Rhinolophus ferrumequinum: one gene and its partner. The protein of the gene in region 2 binds, or shares a complex with, the protein of the main gene of each other region. Links are inferred from orthologs where the notes say so. Each region holds a gene or a part of one and is shown on either strand. Other genes may lie near its edges. The genes, in order: LEP and LEPR.

The links.
Region 1: the proteins of LEPR (region 2) and LEP are in contact, whole or in part, in a crystal structure (PDB 7Z3R), measured with the Mus musculus proteins. The link is inferred for Rhinolophus ferrumequinum from reciprocal best matches to the Homo sapiens genes LEPR and LEP. Residues at the interface, in NP_666258.2 of Mus musculus: Tyr439, Leu440, Thr441, Arg466, Ser468, Leu469, Tyr470, Gln499, Pro500, Ile501, Phe502, Leu503, Leu504, Ser505, Val560, Phe561, Glu563, Asn564; in NP_032519.1 of Mus musculus: Lys26, Val27, Asp30, Thr33, Leu34, Lys36, Thr37, Thr40, Arg41, Gln92, Gln96, Asn99, Asp100, Glu102, Asn103, Asp106, Leu107, Leu110.

Annotation. Positions count from the first base shown.
Region 1 is NC_046309.1:17,596,021-17,603,608, forward strand, and holds the start of LEP (leptin), read right to left. Parts: upstream 3,227-7,588; 5' UTR 3,099-3,226; intron 1-3,098. UniProt on the Homo sapiens protein: Key player in the regulation of energy balance and body weight control. Once released into the circulation, has central and peripheral effects by binding LEPR, found in many tissues, which results in the activation of several major signaling pathways.
Region 2 is NC_046292.1:48,167,698-48,175,663, reverse strand, and holds the start of LEPR (leptin receptor), read right to left. Parts: upstream 3,107-7,966; 5' UTR 3,089-3,106; intron 2,765-3,088; exon of another isoform or gene 2,619-2,764; intron 1-2,618. UniProt on the Homo sapiens protein: Receptor for hormone LEP/leptin. On ligand binding, mediates LEP central and peripheral effects through the activation of different signaling pathways such as JAK2/STAT3 and MAPK cascade/FOS.

The DNA of each region.
Region 1 (7,588 bases), on a different chromosome or scaffold from region 2:
CCTCCTGGTGTCTGACTGTTGGTTCTGTGCCCTCACAAGGCTCGCTGACCTTCCCTGTCCTTGGTCTCCAGTGTGAGATACTTTTTTCCACACAAACTCACTCGAGTAGCTTCCATCTTTCTGAATATATTTTTCATCCAGGAGACATATAGATACACACATATAAGAGAAACAAGTATCAAGACATAAAATTCACCCTTATTATGGGTGTACCGTCGGGAGTCTCTGTTTTTTTTTTAAATGTTTGTCGCAATATAGAATTTGAAAAGCACTGAGCTAGCATGAGTGGTTTTCTCTTATTTGTAACCAAGAGCCTCACTTGAGAAATCACGTTAACATCATTAGCGAGTCGACAGGGTGTGGGTGTGGGTATACGCTTCCTGTTCATCAGGAACTGCCCTGAGATCTGATCCCACCAGGGGTAACAAATAATGTTAATTCCTGTGTTAACTCCCACCAATTGTTAGCGGCTGGGTGGAGGGGGGGATCTGAAGCTCTATTGAGACTCAGAGGGAGAGGGTGCCACGATCAATTAGTGAGATGTGCCAGGCACCAGAGTGGTGGCCATGCCACTTGTTCCAGCATCTCCCAAGGGCCTGGCACAGAGCAGATGCTCATTACATATTTGTTGAATGAATAAATATTTCCAGCCCTGATCTTCATTGTCTAACGAGGTGAACCTCCCTCTATAATGGCTCACCTGTCACCATCTAAATGTCACACTCTAGAATTCACTTTTTGCCAGCAGGAATTCCTAAAGGCTTTCTTCGTGAAGACAGGAACTAGCACCACGTGGGCCTTCAGCTTTCTGAGTTCTGCTCCACCTTGACTGTCATCCTAGGTGCTCCCTGCCTTGGTCCCCTGGCTCCTGCTCCTGTGCTCTGGGTCTCTCGCCCTTCTCAGAGACCTCTGCTCTGCCCTGTGGCTTCTCCCCTCTTCTTGGCACTCCCAAGCTGGGGCTCCTGAGTACAAATGCAATACGTGCACAGATGGGGACAAAAGTTTCTAAGGGGTGAGATGTTGGCATCGACACCAATCATAGATTCAGTTCCTGAGAGCTGATAAACCGAGAGCTTTTACTGTCTTTTGTAAAAGGCAGTCTTTTGCAGTTTGCTGAGAAGCAACTGAAGTAAGTGTGAAGGATTGTTACACATGAAGTAAGAGCAAAGGATTCCATGGGCCCAGGCACCACGTATGTTGTTTTTAAGCCGAAACAACCTCTCTTTCTATTTTCTGAGACAACTGTGTGGACAAAAGAATTTCAAGGCTCTTGGCTGGCAGTCCAGAACTGAGCTGCTGCCACTGGAATCCTACCGCTGGTGGAGACAGGTCCTACTGATTGCCTGATTGCAGGAAAGTGTGGCTCATTTTTCTTTAAATCACAGGCATGCTGTTCAGGATGCATACACCACGCGGATTCTACCTCCCTGGAGCCCCTTCTCTCTCCCTGACCCCTACGCTCCCCTGGGTGGCATCTAGGCTGGAGTAGGGACAATGACCCAGGTTCTGTGAGGCAAGCTCTCCCACGTGGCCACTTCCGTACCCTGCATGGGCGCCTCAGACACAGCAGGCATCTGCCTGGGGCAGACTGGCAGAAATTAATTGCAATTTCCCTGGCTCTGTCCTTGGTGCTTGGAGCCATTTCCTGGAATAGAGGGGGAGGAAAATATTTCCCCCAAATACCAAGAAGAGTTATTTTGGGCATCAGAGATACAAAATATGAGAAGGACTCCTTTGGCCAACATGGAAACGGTCCCCTCAGCCTAATGTCCTCAATGGCTTGAAAAAGAAAGAACCTAAAAACATCCACTGTTTTTCTCTTGCCTTCTCCCCCTACCGAAGAGAGAAATGGTCAGCTTGGCCATTCTGTTCCCTGGACGTTAGAATGGGAACGACAATGGTTCTGCAGACTAAAGCGATTGGGTCCCTTCTCTCCCACCAGTCCCAGAAGCTTACCGCAGAACTCTATAGAACAAACACAAGGGAGCTGAGAGAGGTCAACTCCGACAATGGGGCATCATGGAACCTGTGCTCCTAGGGTGGTGCCGTCAAGGTGCTGCCCTCGGCCCCACCTCCCCCAAAGACCACCCTTCCAGCAGAAAGTAGTCATCTTGTCTCTGTAAAGCTGCCGTTCTCACATGACAACCAGGCCGCTCGTCACACTCAGGTCTATTATAACTGTATTTAAGGAGTTACTTTTCCAAAGTGCCACCATCTTTAAGCTATAGAACTAGAGTGTAAAGGCGACCACACCCACAGTGAAATCTCAACCAAGCCAGGAGAGAAGGCAGGTTATAGGAGGACCTGGTAGGTCTCATCTGGGGCCCACTGGCCAGGAGTGTGTATTTGGCGATTTTGGCTGGAGAAGTGGTAATGGTGAGAAACGTGAGGAACAGACCTTTCCCATGACCTGTTCTTCTGTCTCCCCAGAGAAACCCTATTTTATACATCATGGAGACGGTCATTTGCACAGCTTTGAGAGCAGAAGTGGTGACTCCCAGCACAATTTCTCTGGGAGATTTGGGTTCTTCCTGATTCTCATTCTCCCCCCCTCTACTCCATCACAGTCCCGAGCCTGGGCCTGGGCCTTATATGGCCCCTCCAATTCAGAGGTCAGGACTCCTGCTGGAAAAGTAAGCCTGATTTCTTATTCACAGAGCAAGGCTGTATCTAGTTCTCAGAAACGGAGCCTGGTTTTTGTGTCCCCTGAACATTCAACTTTATCTGCCTACCCCCAAATAGGAGCAGGGTACCCTGATCTTTGGAGAAGTGCTGAAAGCAATTTGCAAAGCATCTCAACAGCGAGCTGGCGGCTCTGTCTCCTGGGGCCCTGGCTGGCTCCCTGAGCAAAGATTCCTGCCCCGTGGGCACAGGCACAGCCCAGCGCAGCCCAGCCCAGCCCAGCCCAGCTCCCGGCTCCCAGCAGCCTTCCTTCTGGTTAGATAGATCACTGTGCAAAGCTACCACAGTCTAGAATTAAGCCCTCCAGCCTGCCCTTCTCCTGTCTCAGTTTCCCCGGGGGCCCGGGGTGAGGTGGGCAGCTGCGGCCTGCCAGAGCGAGCTGTAGAGAAGGAAAAAGGAGAGCGCTGGGGGCTTACCTCGAAACTGCTCCACCGCAGTCGCTGCGGAGCTCCATGCCTGCCGGCCCGTCTTATAGTCTCGCAGGCACAACTTGCGCAACTGCCGGGCAGGCCTGGGCGCACCCAGAGCGCCAGCTCCCGCCCCACCCCGTGGGCAGCGCTGAGCCGGGCAGATGCGGGCTCCGGGCCTCGAGAGAGGGATTCTGCTGTGCCAGGAGTCACGCGCACACCCTCGGGTATGCCAGCAAGTTTGGGGACCGCTGGCAGGAGCGAGAAATCCTCGAGGTCCCGACAGAAGCTCAGGCATGGCTTCGGACCGGCCTCTGGGGACGGCTGGCTGTGGGGGGCTTCTGTCAGCTTGCTGGGGCGCGGACCGCACCCTCGCTGGCCGGTGGAGCAGATAGCAAGGCCCACAAAGCCAGCTCTGCCGGGCGCGGGGCTGCGCTACCCGCAATGGGTCTCTGCAGCCATCGCGGTGCTCAGACCCGACGGCCGTGCGCGCTGGGGAGCTGTACGCCTGGCGCCCCCACCTGGAATGAAAGGGTTTGCTTTCTTTCCCTCTACCCGGTTCGGGTTCGCCCGGAAGCCAGCTTCCGAGGCTCAGGACAGGTGGTCTCAGGCTGGCCTGCCCTGGAGACAGCGTCCCCTGGATATGAGGAGTCTGCCCCAAGGTGCGTTCGCTCGGGAGGCCTGATACTCTGGGTGTGCAGTCCTTCCCCAACCCGAGGTTTCCTGTGTGGAAAGGGTAGTGTCCCAGACAGCAATATGTTCCTCAGCCTGTGAGTAGGCTGGTATCATCCCCGGGCTTCAGGGACGAGGAAACTGAGGTCCAGGGAGATTAAGTGACTTTCCTCGGAACTCCCAGCTGGTATGTCGTGACAACCCAGGAACGCAGGGTTCCCAGGAACCCAGATGCCAACAAGTAGATCAGGCCCATTCTGGTCACCACAGCAAAGAGCAGCTCTGAAAAGAACCTGTTCAGTTAAGAACCAGCCCAGCATATAAGGTGGGGTGGGGGTGGCAAACTCTGCAGGGGGCCAAATCCTACCACCCACTGTTTTGGTATGGCCCAAGACCATTTTTAAATAGTTAAAAAAAAAATCAAAAGAAGAAAAAGCTAAGACATGAAAAATGTAGGAAATTTACATTTCGGTGTCCACAAATAAAGTTTTAAATTTTGTCCAAATAATTGTGGGAGTTTTCCTCTCTTATACTTACACGACAGCCCTGATGTTGCCCCTTGGCCTGCAAAGTCTAAAGTTACTATCTGGCCCTTTAAAAAGAAAGTTTGCCAACCTCTGAACTAGGGAACACATTGGCATTGGCCCCGCTGGGTCTTTATTCCTGCCAGTCCTGGATGGGCACGGGGGACTTCCATCGGTTTCCCCCGTTCCACTGGGGTCTCTCTCTCTCTCTCTCATTGAAGAAGCTTGTCCTGTTCTCCCTTCCAGGCAACTCTTCTCCCTCCAGCTGGCTTGGGGGACCTGTTCCTCTTCCTCCCCTAGGTTGTAAGGGGAAGATGGGGGCTGGGTCACCCATTTTTAAAGTCCTGGTACCTTCACAGCGCCAGGCACACATGGGTGCCCAGAAAAAGTTTGCTGAAATGAACCCGGGGGCACGATGCGCCACATAGCTGATTTTGGACATGTGCTATCATTGCACCAGCGTTTGGGGATACCTGTAGACGCAAGGCCGTTGGGGGTGTAGATTTTCAAAACTTGTGAAAACATCCCTGCGGTGCTGGTGGTGTGTAGGGAACAAGGAAAGCCTGACTCACACAGGTCCTCACCAGTCACATTGCACCGGAGATTTCCTGATGTAAACATGCTCCCGATGGCTATGTATTCATCCAGGATGGCAGGGTCTGTTTTGTTCTCTGCTATGTCCTCCGTTCATAGCCCAGTGCCTCGCACAAAGTATTTCATTTTTAAGATATATTTTTAAGTGGAAATTTCAAACATACGGAGAAGTAGGCAATATATCCGTGGTTTAGATTTAACAATTATTAGTTTTCCATATTTGCCTCATTTATTTTTTGGCTAAAATATTTTAAAGCACATTACAAACATCATAACATTTTCTCTTCCGTGTATAGCTCTAAAAAATAAGGAAGCATTTCTACATAACTGCAATATCACACAACAGTAATTCCTTAACACCACGAAAGATCCAATTTATATATTCAAATTTCCCGAAATATCTCAAAAATGTCTTTTATAGTTGCTTTGTTTGAGCCTCGTTGTTTTGCTTCTAATTAATAACTATTGATTGAAGGAAGGAAGAAAGGAAATTGAGCTATATATCTGTGGAAGTCAGAAAATGTTAGCATTGACTATGATTTATAATTATACTGCTACGAAAAATGTGGGAAACCAACTAAATGTCCAACATAAGAAATTGGTAAGATGATTGAAAAGACATATGAAAGCGATAAGCACACATTTAAAAAAAAATCTGTTGTAAAATAATATTTAATGAGGTAGGAAAATAATTATATTTTATGAACTAAAAAGTTAGATTACAAAATGATATGTGTTTTCAGATTACACATATGTTGACACACACATTCACACCAAGATATATTGTCACTACAGGGAGTGAGATTAGGCATTAGTTTTAAGCTCTTTGCGCTTTTCTGCTTTTAAAAAGTGTCTGCAATGGAATTACGTGTTAAAGAGAAATCTTGTACCTCCCACGGAAATGCTGTTTTGTGTTGTTTTTCACATACAGGCGGTAGCACTCACTACAATCAAGTTTTCCTTGTTCCCAACATCTTTGTAACTTGGTTATAAGTAAGGACATAGCTTATTTGCAGGGACCTTGGCAGCCTCGGGTTACCTGTGGCAGCATCAGCTTTTTTAGGGTCGTGGGGTGGATTGGGACCAGAGTTACTGCAAGAACATCAAGCAGTGCTTGAGACCACATTGTGGAGATACATACTGCTCTCTATCCATCACCTACCTAGTTTTGCATTTGGTTGACTAATAAATTATTATTTTATTTTTAAAGAAAATATTATTGTATAATAAAATATATTCTATTTTTAAGAAAATTCAGAAAGGACAAAAAGACATGAAAATTCAAGTCTCCAACCCCCTTCTCCTCCTAGATGTAACAGTTGTTACCAGTTTCTGGGGTGTTCTTCCATGGATATTCCTTTTCTAGTCTTCATATATCTATTTTCTTTAAACACACACACACACACACACACACACACACATGATGTCATACTGGTCACACTACTATTCCTGCCCCTTGCCTTTAATTTCTTTTTATTTTGGAAATTTTCAAATCTCCATAATACATTTACAAGAAAAAGCGGCATAACAAATCTCCATGCACCCATCATCCAGCTTCAGCCATTATTGATCTCTTCTTTCACTAACTGTATCTAGAATACAATTTCTTACCAATATACATAGAGCTGTGCCAATCTTTTAAATGTCAGCTTATTTTACTTTATGGATGCACCACAATCAATCTAACCAGATTGTTACATACATAATGTTGTAATTAATAAGTTTAAATCGACTTATTTGAGCATTGTGTGACTACCGTGTTTCCCCGAAAATAAGACCTAGCCAGACAATCAGCTCTAATGTGTCTTTTGGAGCAAAAATTAATATAAGACCTGGTCTTATATTACTGTAATATAAGGCCGGGTCTATAGTATAATATAATGTAATGTAATATTATATTATATTATAATATAATACAGGGTCTTATTTTACTATAATATAAGACCGGGTCTTATATAAGACCCGGTCTCATATTAATTTTTGCTCCAAAAGACACATTAGAGCTGATTGTCTGGCTAGGTCTTATTTTCAGGGAAACAGGATATATCTGTGGGAGAAATTATGATAAATAGAATTGTTGAGTCAGAAGATATGCACTTTCAAAATAGAAATACACTGCCAAATTACATTCCTTAGAGATTGCGCCAATTACATGCACAGTTGGCTGCAAGTGACAGTGACTTAAGCATTAACCGTGTGTAGTTATCCAGAAGCCTGGAGGAGGGCAGGGGCAGTGCTTGGTGGCATCACTGAGAATCCTCCTCCTTCTGATCTTATTTTCTCCCGTTGTGTCCTGTGCTTATTACCTCACAGTTGCAAGATGGATGCTGTCCCTTCAGTCATCATGTCCTTACACCAGTGCCCAGTAGGAAGGGCAGGGCAGAAGCTAAAGGTTGTGTCTTCTTGAAATTCTGGGTCTAGTTGAGGAAGGGAAGTCAGATTTCCCCTTATTTCTCATTGACCAGAACTGGGACATGTGCCCACCCCTAGACCAATCACTGGCAAAAATGGAATGTGATTGCCATGACTGATTTAGACCAATCATAATCCTTCCTCTGGGGCTGGGGTAGATCAAGGTAGATGAAGCAAACTCTGTCCTTACCAGAAAGAATTGGGGTTCCGTAAGATTGGAAGAAGGTGAGAAGAAATAGCTCTTTGGTGACATTCCCCAGGAAGGATCCATGTTAGTTATGTAATGTTGTCTTTTTT
Region 2 (7,966 bases):
AAAAAAATTTAATTAATAAGATCGTGTGTGGGAAAAGACAACAGATAATGTCACCGTTGTCACAAAAGTTTTAGGTAGTATTTGAGAAGGAATATTCCAAATAATAAGCAGACCAAATATGAATTTAAACTAAAAGGTTATATGTACTAGAGTGGGTCAGGAGGTGAACATTTGTGATTTTCTGATTTAATTAAATGCGGAATTTGTAAATCACAGAAAATCTTAAGAATTAGAGCAGACTATAAGCCCTTTTCTTCATTTTAACTCCACAGGACATGTGTTTTAGTACTGCATGTGTGTTTGGCTCTCAATATGAAAAATGCAGTACAGTATGCCCAAGACAATTCTTTTTTTTTCCTGGACATTTTAGTTTTATTCCAAGACCCCCTGAGATATTGTACTTCACAAATACAAATCATTCAGTTATATAATAATGATCTAAGTGTGAAGGCATGACTTTTTTCTTGGTAAATTCATGAGAGTAAAGTCCCCATATTACAAAAGAGAAATAGAGCTTCTGCCAACCATGGCTTCTAAGCCACGAATGAGTTGGCTGTGGACCTTGAGCAGTCAGACCCATCCACTGTTTTCAGTTGTTTTCCAACCAGCAATGAGAAGCCAGGGCATTTAAGTTCTACTACTACTCTCTGTTCATTCAAAAACCAATTTGCTGAACGTTTTGAGCATCTGTTTCTAAGATACTCATCTTAGAAACATCTACTTCACTAGAGAATATGAGGGAAGACAAATGCCTGAATGATTCATGACACTGTCAGCCCCAAAGTGAAAAGGCACTGAAACTAAGTTAAAATGTGTTCATAAAAGAGTATTTCAAATCCACTCCATTATCCCAAACTGCATACAAAGTACATGCTGGTACAAACACATTACTTTAGATCAAAGCCACCAAAAAGAGCCAAAACACTTCTAAACCTACCCTAATGACTGATGACTAAGTCTGATGACTAAGTCTCAAATAATTTTGAATTACAAGTAACAACAAAAGCCATTCTAACATTCTCTATCTGCTTAAGCCAAAAGTTGTTTGTTGTCATTTTTTTATCAAAAGGAAATGAAAGGTTAGCTGAATAGTACCCACTTCTTATAAAACTTTTTGTGTGTGTCAAAACCTAATTTCTTATTTATCTGTTTGGTTAACCTCTGCTATTTTCTGGGATTCAATCCAAGACAACAAAAATGCTTTACTAAAATTGGCATCTCTGCTCCTGAGCTCATTTCTGAGAGGATCTGAAGTGGCCTGAAACCATTTTTTTAATATTTTGCACACAACTTTATGCTAAAAAGTAGCAAACACTTTTCAAGAGCAGTAATTGCTAGGAAAGGTGCGATTTTTGTTTTCCTCCAAAACAATTTTTATGTCCTCCAAATATACAATACTGAAAGAGAATAAGTACTTTGCTAAAGTCACGTGTTTTTGTTGCAGTGTTGTAAATACTAACTTAAAGTTGAACAGGATTCTTTGAGGTAGAGGGAGAGATGATCTAAATATTTACATATAAACTATGTATTTCTGAATCCTTTTAGAAGTGTTTTTCTCTTTAATTTTTGGTTGGAAAACCCTAAAAGCACAATTCCTAAATGCATATAAACAAAATGCCAAGATCAATATAGATTTTTTAAATGTCGTGAAATTATGAATCTAGCAATGTTTGTAGCATGTTAAAGAATTATAAATTTTTAAGTTGGGAAACATCTTAGATATTATTAAAAGGCCCTCAGAATCTTAATTCAACCCTCTAATTTGACAGATGAGGAAACTGAGGCCCACAGAAGTCAAGCTAACAGCAAAGTCACAGATAAAAGGCAATCATACCAAAATTCTGACTCCACGTCCAAACCTCTGAAAGGGTACTTGTTTCAAGGTACTTTAATACTTATGCAAATAAACGTTAACAGAAGACACTCCGAACCACCCCTCACTATTAGGAACTTCGTCAGGCTTACAAGAGCCAGTGCCATCTTCCGTTTGCAAACACAAGTCCTAGAAATGGCACCCACAATAACCATTTTCTTAGACTGCCTCGCCGTACCTGGGGTTTCCAAAGTGATTCTTCAGTTAGGTCTCTTTTTCTCGCCTCTACAAATCCCTTTAAATAAATGCTTTGCTTAGGATTGGGTTTTTTCTTTGTTTTGTTTTTTAATATGCTTTAGCAGAGCAAGAGAGAGTGGGAAACAGAGGCTCGGGTGTACAACAATTTTTTTTTTCTTTTGCATCCAAACCAATAAATCCCTCCTCCGGGCCCCCGGGCTTACTGGTTTACGAGTCCCTTCAGTTTCCACTGTAGGAAGGAGACCCGGAAAAGAAGTTGGCCGAGTGGCACGTCCTTTCGGGACGTGCCCGGCAGGTGCGAGCCCAGACTCGGCTGGCTTCACTTAGCTGTGCTCGCCGACCCCCTCGCCCCGGGTCCCCCCGATTCCCAGCCCCGGGGGAGCCGAGAGATTCCCGGCGCCCCTCTAGTGGCGCCTCCAGGCCGGCCCTAACTCCTGGTCCCCAAGTGGCCCACAGGCTCCGCGCGGCTCAGCGCCCCCCTCCTCGAATTGCCGGGAGCGGGAAAAGGTGGCGTTAGAGGGATGGAGGAGAGAGAAGCGGGTCCCACCTCGATGCCGGGATCCAACCCAGATGGAAGGCAGAGATGGCACCTGCGTGGCTCGCTCTCAGCCGGCGTGGTCTCTGCGATGGGGCGCTCCAAACTCCTCGCCGAAGATGCCAGGCAACTCTCAGGAGAGAGAAGGGCAGCAGAGTGTGTGCGGAGGAGGAGCTGGCGGGGAGGTTGGGGCGGGGGGGGGGGTGGCCTATGGGCTGGGGAGAAGGGAGAGAGAGCCGGGTGGCCGCCCGCGTGCCCGCGCACTCCGCGACAGCTCGGGAGCGGCAGAAGGGACCCCGCGGGGCGAGGGCAGGGAGCACCGAGGCGCGTGGCCGCGGGCCCGGAGGAGGAGAAGCGGAGACGTTGAGAAGGAGGACCCCCTGCCCGCCCCCGCCCCGGCTCCGGGAGTCCGAGAGCAGAGACAAACCCAGCAGGAAGGGGGCACCGCTACTTCATCCTGCAGTCAGCTACAGCGCACCCACCTTGAGCCAGCGGTTCTCAGACTCTGAATTAGGCTAGGGTTCCCTCTGTTCCTCCCACCTGCGGACTTCCATGCCTCTGCTCCATCAGGTGTGGAAAATGATACCATAAAGATTGCAATGATTGGGAGGAGTGGGAAAGGAGAACGAATCGGAAAGACCCGAAGTAGTGAGGTAGTGAGCTTCCCATCACCAAGGATGTTTCAGCCAAGCATTTTGGTCATGCTGTCAGAAAGGCTGACCAGGCTACTCACGCACCAAGTGGGGGTTGGACTAAATGACCATTTATCTTTCAATCTTGAAATTCAATGGCTTTTGATGTAGGAAAACAAAAATCCTTCAACAGCCTGATTCCAAACCCAAAGTAATTAGACAGTTTCTTGCTCTCCACTCAAAATGTTCACTCATGGATTTGTTGAGGACATACTGTGTGCCAGACAATATGCTAGGGGCAGTTATTATGTTCCTTGAACTTGGAGTTGTAATAGTCAGACACGCAAGTATTCATACATCTACCAACTGTGATGGGTGAGATGAAGGAAACCAACAGCGTGAGGAAGAATGAATAAAGGGGGAGTGGACATACTCTAGGTGGGATGAATGGTTAATTTTAAAAAGTCTCTAGAAATAACTTGCCTAACACCCTCGTAGGAAGAGGCCTCAGAGGCACAGAGAGAAAGTAACCCAGAGATGCCAACTTGTGGAGCTTCGTAAATGGAAATTTTCCCCTATAGAAATTTCCTCCCGGGACCAGTGTCACTTTTCTGCATAGCATTTGGATCTCCAGACCACCTGTTGAGGTCACTTCATTCAGAAATTTCATATTTGTGCACTGAATGAACTTTCTGGGGCATCTTTGAAAGGCAAAAATAACCCAGAAGCACTAACCTTTGAGTTTTCATTCAAACCTCAAAAAACAGACCAATGTCTCCATCGGGTGAAGGCAGGAATTGGAATAGAGATACTGACTTTCCCAAATTATTATGAAATAAAACAACACAGCAGAATCCTTAATTAGATAATTGGTATAAATTAGCATATTCATTTTCTAAGGTTGCTTTAACAAATGACCACGAATTTAACACTTATAACAACTGAAATTTATTCTTTCACTATTTTGGAGACCAGAAGTCCAACCTCAAGGTGTCCTCAAGTCTGTATTCCCTCCCAAGGCTCTAAGGGGAGAATCCTTCCTTGCCCCACCCAGTTTTTAGTAGCTCCAGGAATTCATTGGCTGGTGGTTGCATCACTCTAATTTCTGCCTCCATCATCACATGGCCTTCTCTGTGTCTGTGTCTTCTTCTCTTCTGTCTCTTATAAGGACACTTGTCATTGGATGTAGGGACCATCCAGATAATCCAGAAGGATCTCAACTGGAGATTCTTACTTAATTACATCTGCAAAGACCCAAATAACATCCATTCACAGATTCTGGAGTTTAGGATGTGGACAGTTTTTTTTGGGGGGGTTGGCAGGGGGAGCCACCATTCAATCCACTAAAGCTAGTAAACTATTAGGGACCAAAATTACCTACTATGGTATCAGGGTATCATTCCAGCATCATTGTCATAAATTATTTCATTGTGAACTACTGAAAATAAGGATCATTAAACCTGAGTATTATGAGGAATAACTGCCACAAGGAAAAGAATTACAAAGGCCCAAGCCTTCAATTCATGTTTGAGTCACAGGCAATACTTAAAGACCAAGCACAGCTCCTCGAAGCTACCATTGTTAAATTAATACAGAAATACACCCCCACATCCACGTGTATGGATTTCTGATAACATGATCAAATCTTGAATGCCTGCTAGGCATCAGGCTCTGAGTCAGGAACTCCTATGGAGGTTACATTCTAGGCTAAGGGACGCCTTTGAATTTCATTCCCTCTGGCACAAAGCCTGCTGTATATCTGAAGGCCAATAAAGAGCTGTTGACTGACTAGATGAGTAAAAATAAATCACTACCAATTAGGCAATTATTACCACATTGAAAAACTTCTCTATGATAACAAGAAAGGATTAACACCTTAACTCATTCGTGAGTGAGGAAAAAAAATCACTAAAAGGAAACATTTGATTTAAAAAAGAAAATAATGAGATCGCCTATCTTCTCTTTTAAAAAAAAAAAATCAATAATATGCCTATTTACACAGATACAGATCCTGCGAAGAGAAATCAATCATGACTGAAGTTACAGTTACTTACAATGAATAAAACAGTTTGTCCAAGTATTTTGGTTGTTAATTTCAAAATATATAAACCTTATTTAACTATTAATTTCATAATATTGATATAACATTCCTTGAAACTCTTTACAACAATTTTCATGACTCTCTCCTGGTTCAGCTCTTCTCTCTTTGACTTTCCTTCTCACTCTTCCACTCTTACAATTTGAAACAATTAACCAATATGTTAACAACTACCAAACCAAGTCTTATTTATTAACTTACTTGGGTCATGATAGCCAATGAGTTGGAATACAATGACTATCCAGGTGTGAATAACCTGTACGCTCCGGGAAAACAGAGACAGGGAGGAGAGTTGATCTCACCCTAACCAAAATATTTAGCAGGGGAAAAGTGGTACCCCAAAATAAAATTAGGATGCTCTTACTGAAGAAGTCAACAAAAAAACACAGATATCCACTACAATACACGTAGACACTCAGTAAGGTTTGTTGGAATACAGTTTGATTCAAATGGCACTTCAGCCTGTCTGTGGTGTTCTAAATGTTTTCTCGAAAGTCTTTTAAAATAAAATGATAATTATAACTATTGATTATATGTCTAATTACCACACAAATCTCAAATTTTGCATTTGTGAAGGACTTTGCAAGAAGCTTTGATATCTATCAGAGGCCGTATTGCTGAGTTTTTATGCACATGCACACTTATGATGAAATCTTGTATGAGTTCCCTCTTTCTGTCTCAGTTTCTTTTTGTGTAAAATGGAGGTGATAGTGATAATGACCTCTCTGAACAGTCATGAAAAGTAATGAGATAATGCGTTTACAATAGTACTTTTACCTAGTACTCAATTATGTTTGTGTATTATCATCTCATTTACTCTTCACATCTCTGGAAACCATTTTGGGAAATCATATTTTGCTCCCTTATTTTGCTCATTTATTGCTCCCTTAATAGATAATCAGTAGCTATTACATATCAGGCATAATGACCAAGACGAACAACACAGGTCCTTTATATTCAAGAGGAGTCAAGCGAGGGTTCTCATTGTTCAACTAGGTCGTGTAGGGCACTCCCCGCAGAGAAACAGAGTGTGGAAGGAAAGGCACAGAGGGGAAAAGGTATGGTACCCTAGGGGACAGCAAGTTGTGTAGCTAGAGCTCGTGATATGTTCAGGAAAATGTACCTGGAAAAATACATAGAGATCTATTAGGAAGAACATCGAAAGTTATATGGGATTTTGACGGTGGTTTGGATTTTAACCTCTATTCATGATGAAATGTCGCAAACTTTTAGACTCAAGAATTGTGTTTTCAAATTTGGAGGAAGGGAAGTACATCCTGCATATGTAAAGTCTGGCAGAAAAAGAAAAAGATGAGCCTCGAGCAAGGGTAACAGAAGAAACTAGGCAATTGTAGTAGACCAGTGCTTCTCAAACTTCAAGGTGCAACAGAATCAAACTAGGGATATTGAAAGCACAGATTCTGCTTCAGGAGTTCTGGGGTGGGGCCCTGGTGTCTGCATTTCTAATAAGCTCCCAGGTGATATCAATGCTGCTGGTCCCCAGCAAGGAAATAGACTATTTAAATACTATCAATGCCATTTCCAACCAAAAGAAATTGATATTTAATGTACATCAATCTTCTAAGTCCTCATGGAGAAATAATTTGCCCCCTGTGAAGGTGTAACTGCTAATTGAAGAACTATTGTGTACAACAAGCCAATAAGATGAAAACATCTTATCTTGATTCTGAAGATATCTCTGAGAATAAATCCCTTTAAACCCTGAACATTCAAATGAAAATAACTAGGTTATGTGTGAGGACGCAGCTGTGGTTAGTAAAAGAATTATAATATAGGATACTGTAATGGTCTTGGTGTGCTAACTTAACTAAGCTATAGTCCCCAGTTATGCAATCAAACACTAATGGAAGTGTGGCTATGAAGAGATTTTGTAGACATGATTAAAGTCCATCATCAGTAGACTGCAAGTGAGAGAAATTATCCTAAATAATCAGGGTGGGCCTGGTTCAGTAAGTTGAAAGGCAGTAAAAGTAGAGCTGAGGCTTCCCTCAAGAAAAAGAAACTCCACAGAACCTTCCACCCATGACCGAGAATTCCCAGCTTGCCTTTCTTGACAGTCTGCTCTACGTAAGGACTAGCCTAGCCAGTCTCTACAATCACCTCAGCCTTGCAATAAGTATCTTACTATGTGTCTCCTACTGGTTCTGCTTCTGTGGTTGAACCCTAATATTTTTTTGTAAGTGAAAATGAGGTACTGCTATAACAAAGACCTGAAAATGTGGGAATGGCTCTGGAATTGGGAAGTAGGCAGAAACTGGAAGAATTTTTGTGAAGCATGATGGAAAAAGCCTATCTTGCCTTGAACAGACTGTTCATGCTGCTAGTGAGGACTCAGAAGGAAGTGAGGAACATGGTAGAAAAACATATATCACCTTAGAGAATATTTAAATCATTATGAAGAGACTGTTGGTAGAAACACGGACATTAAAGTGACTGGTGGTGAGGATAGAAGTAAGTGAGGAACATGATATTGGAAATTTGAGGGAGGAGAATCTTTGTTATATATGGTGGCAGAAAGCTCAGTAGAATGGTGTCCTGCAGTTATACAGAAAGCAGAACTTGTATACTGATATAATGAAATTGGATACACAGCTGAGGAGATTTCCAAG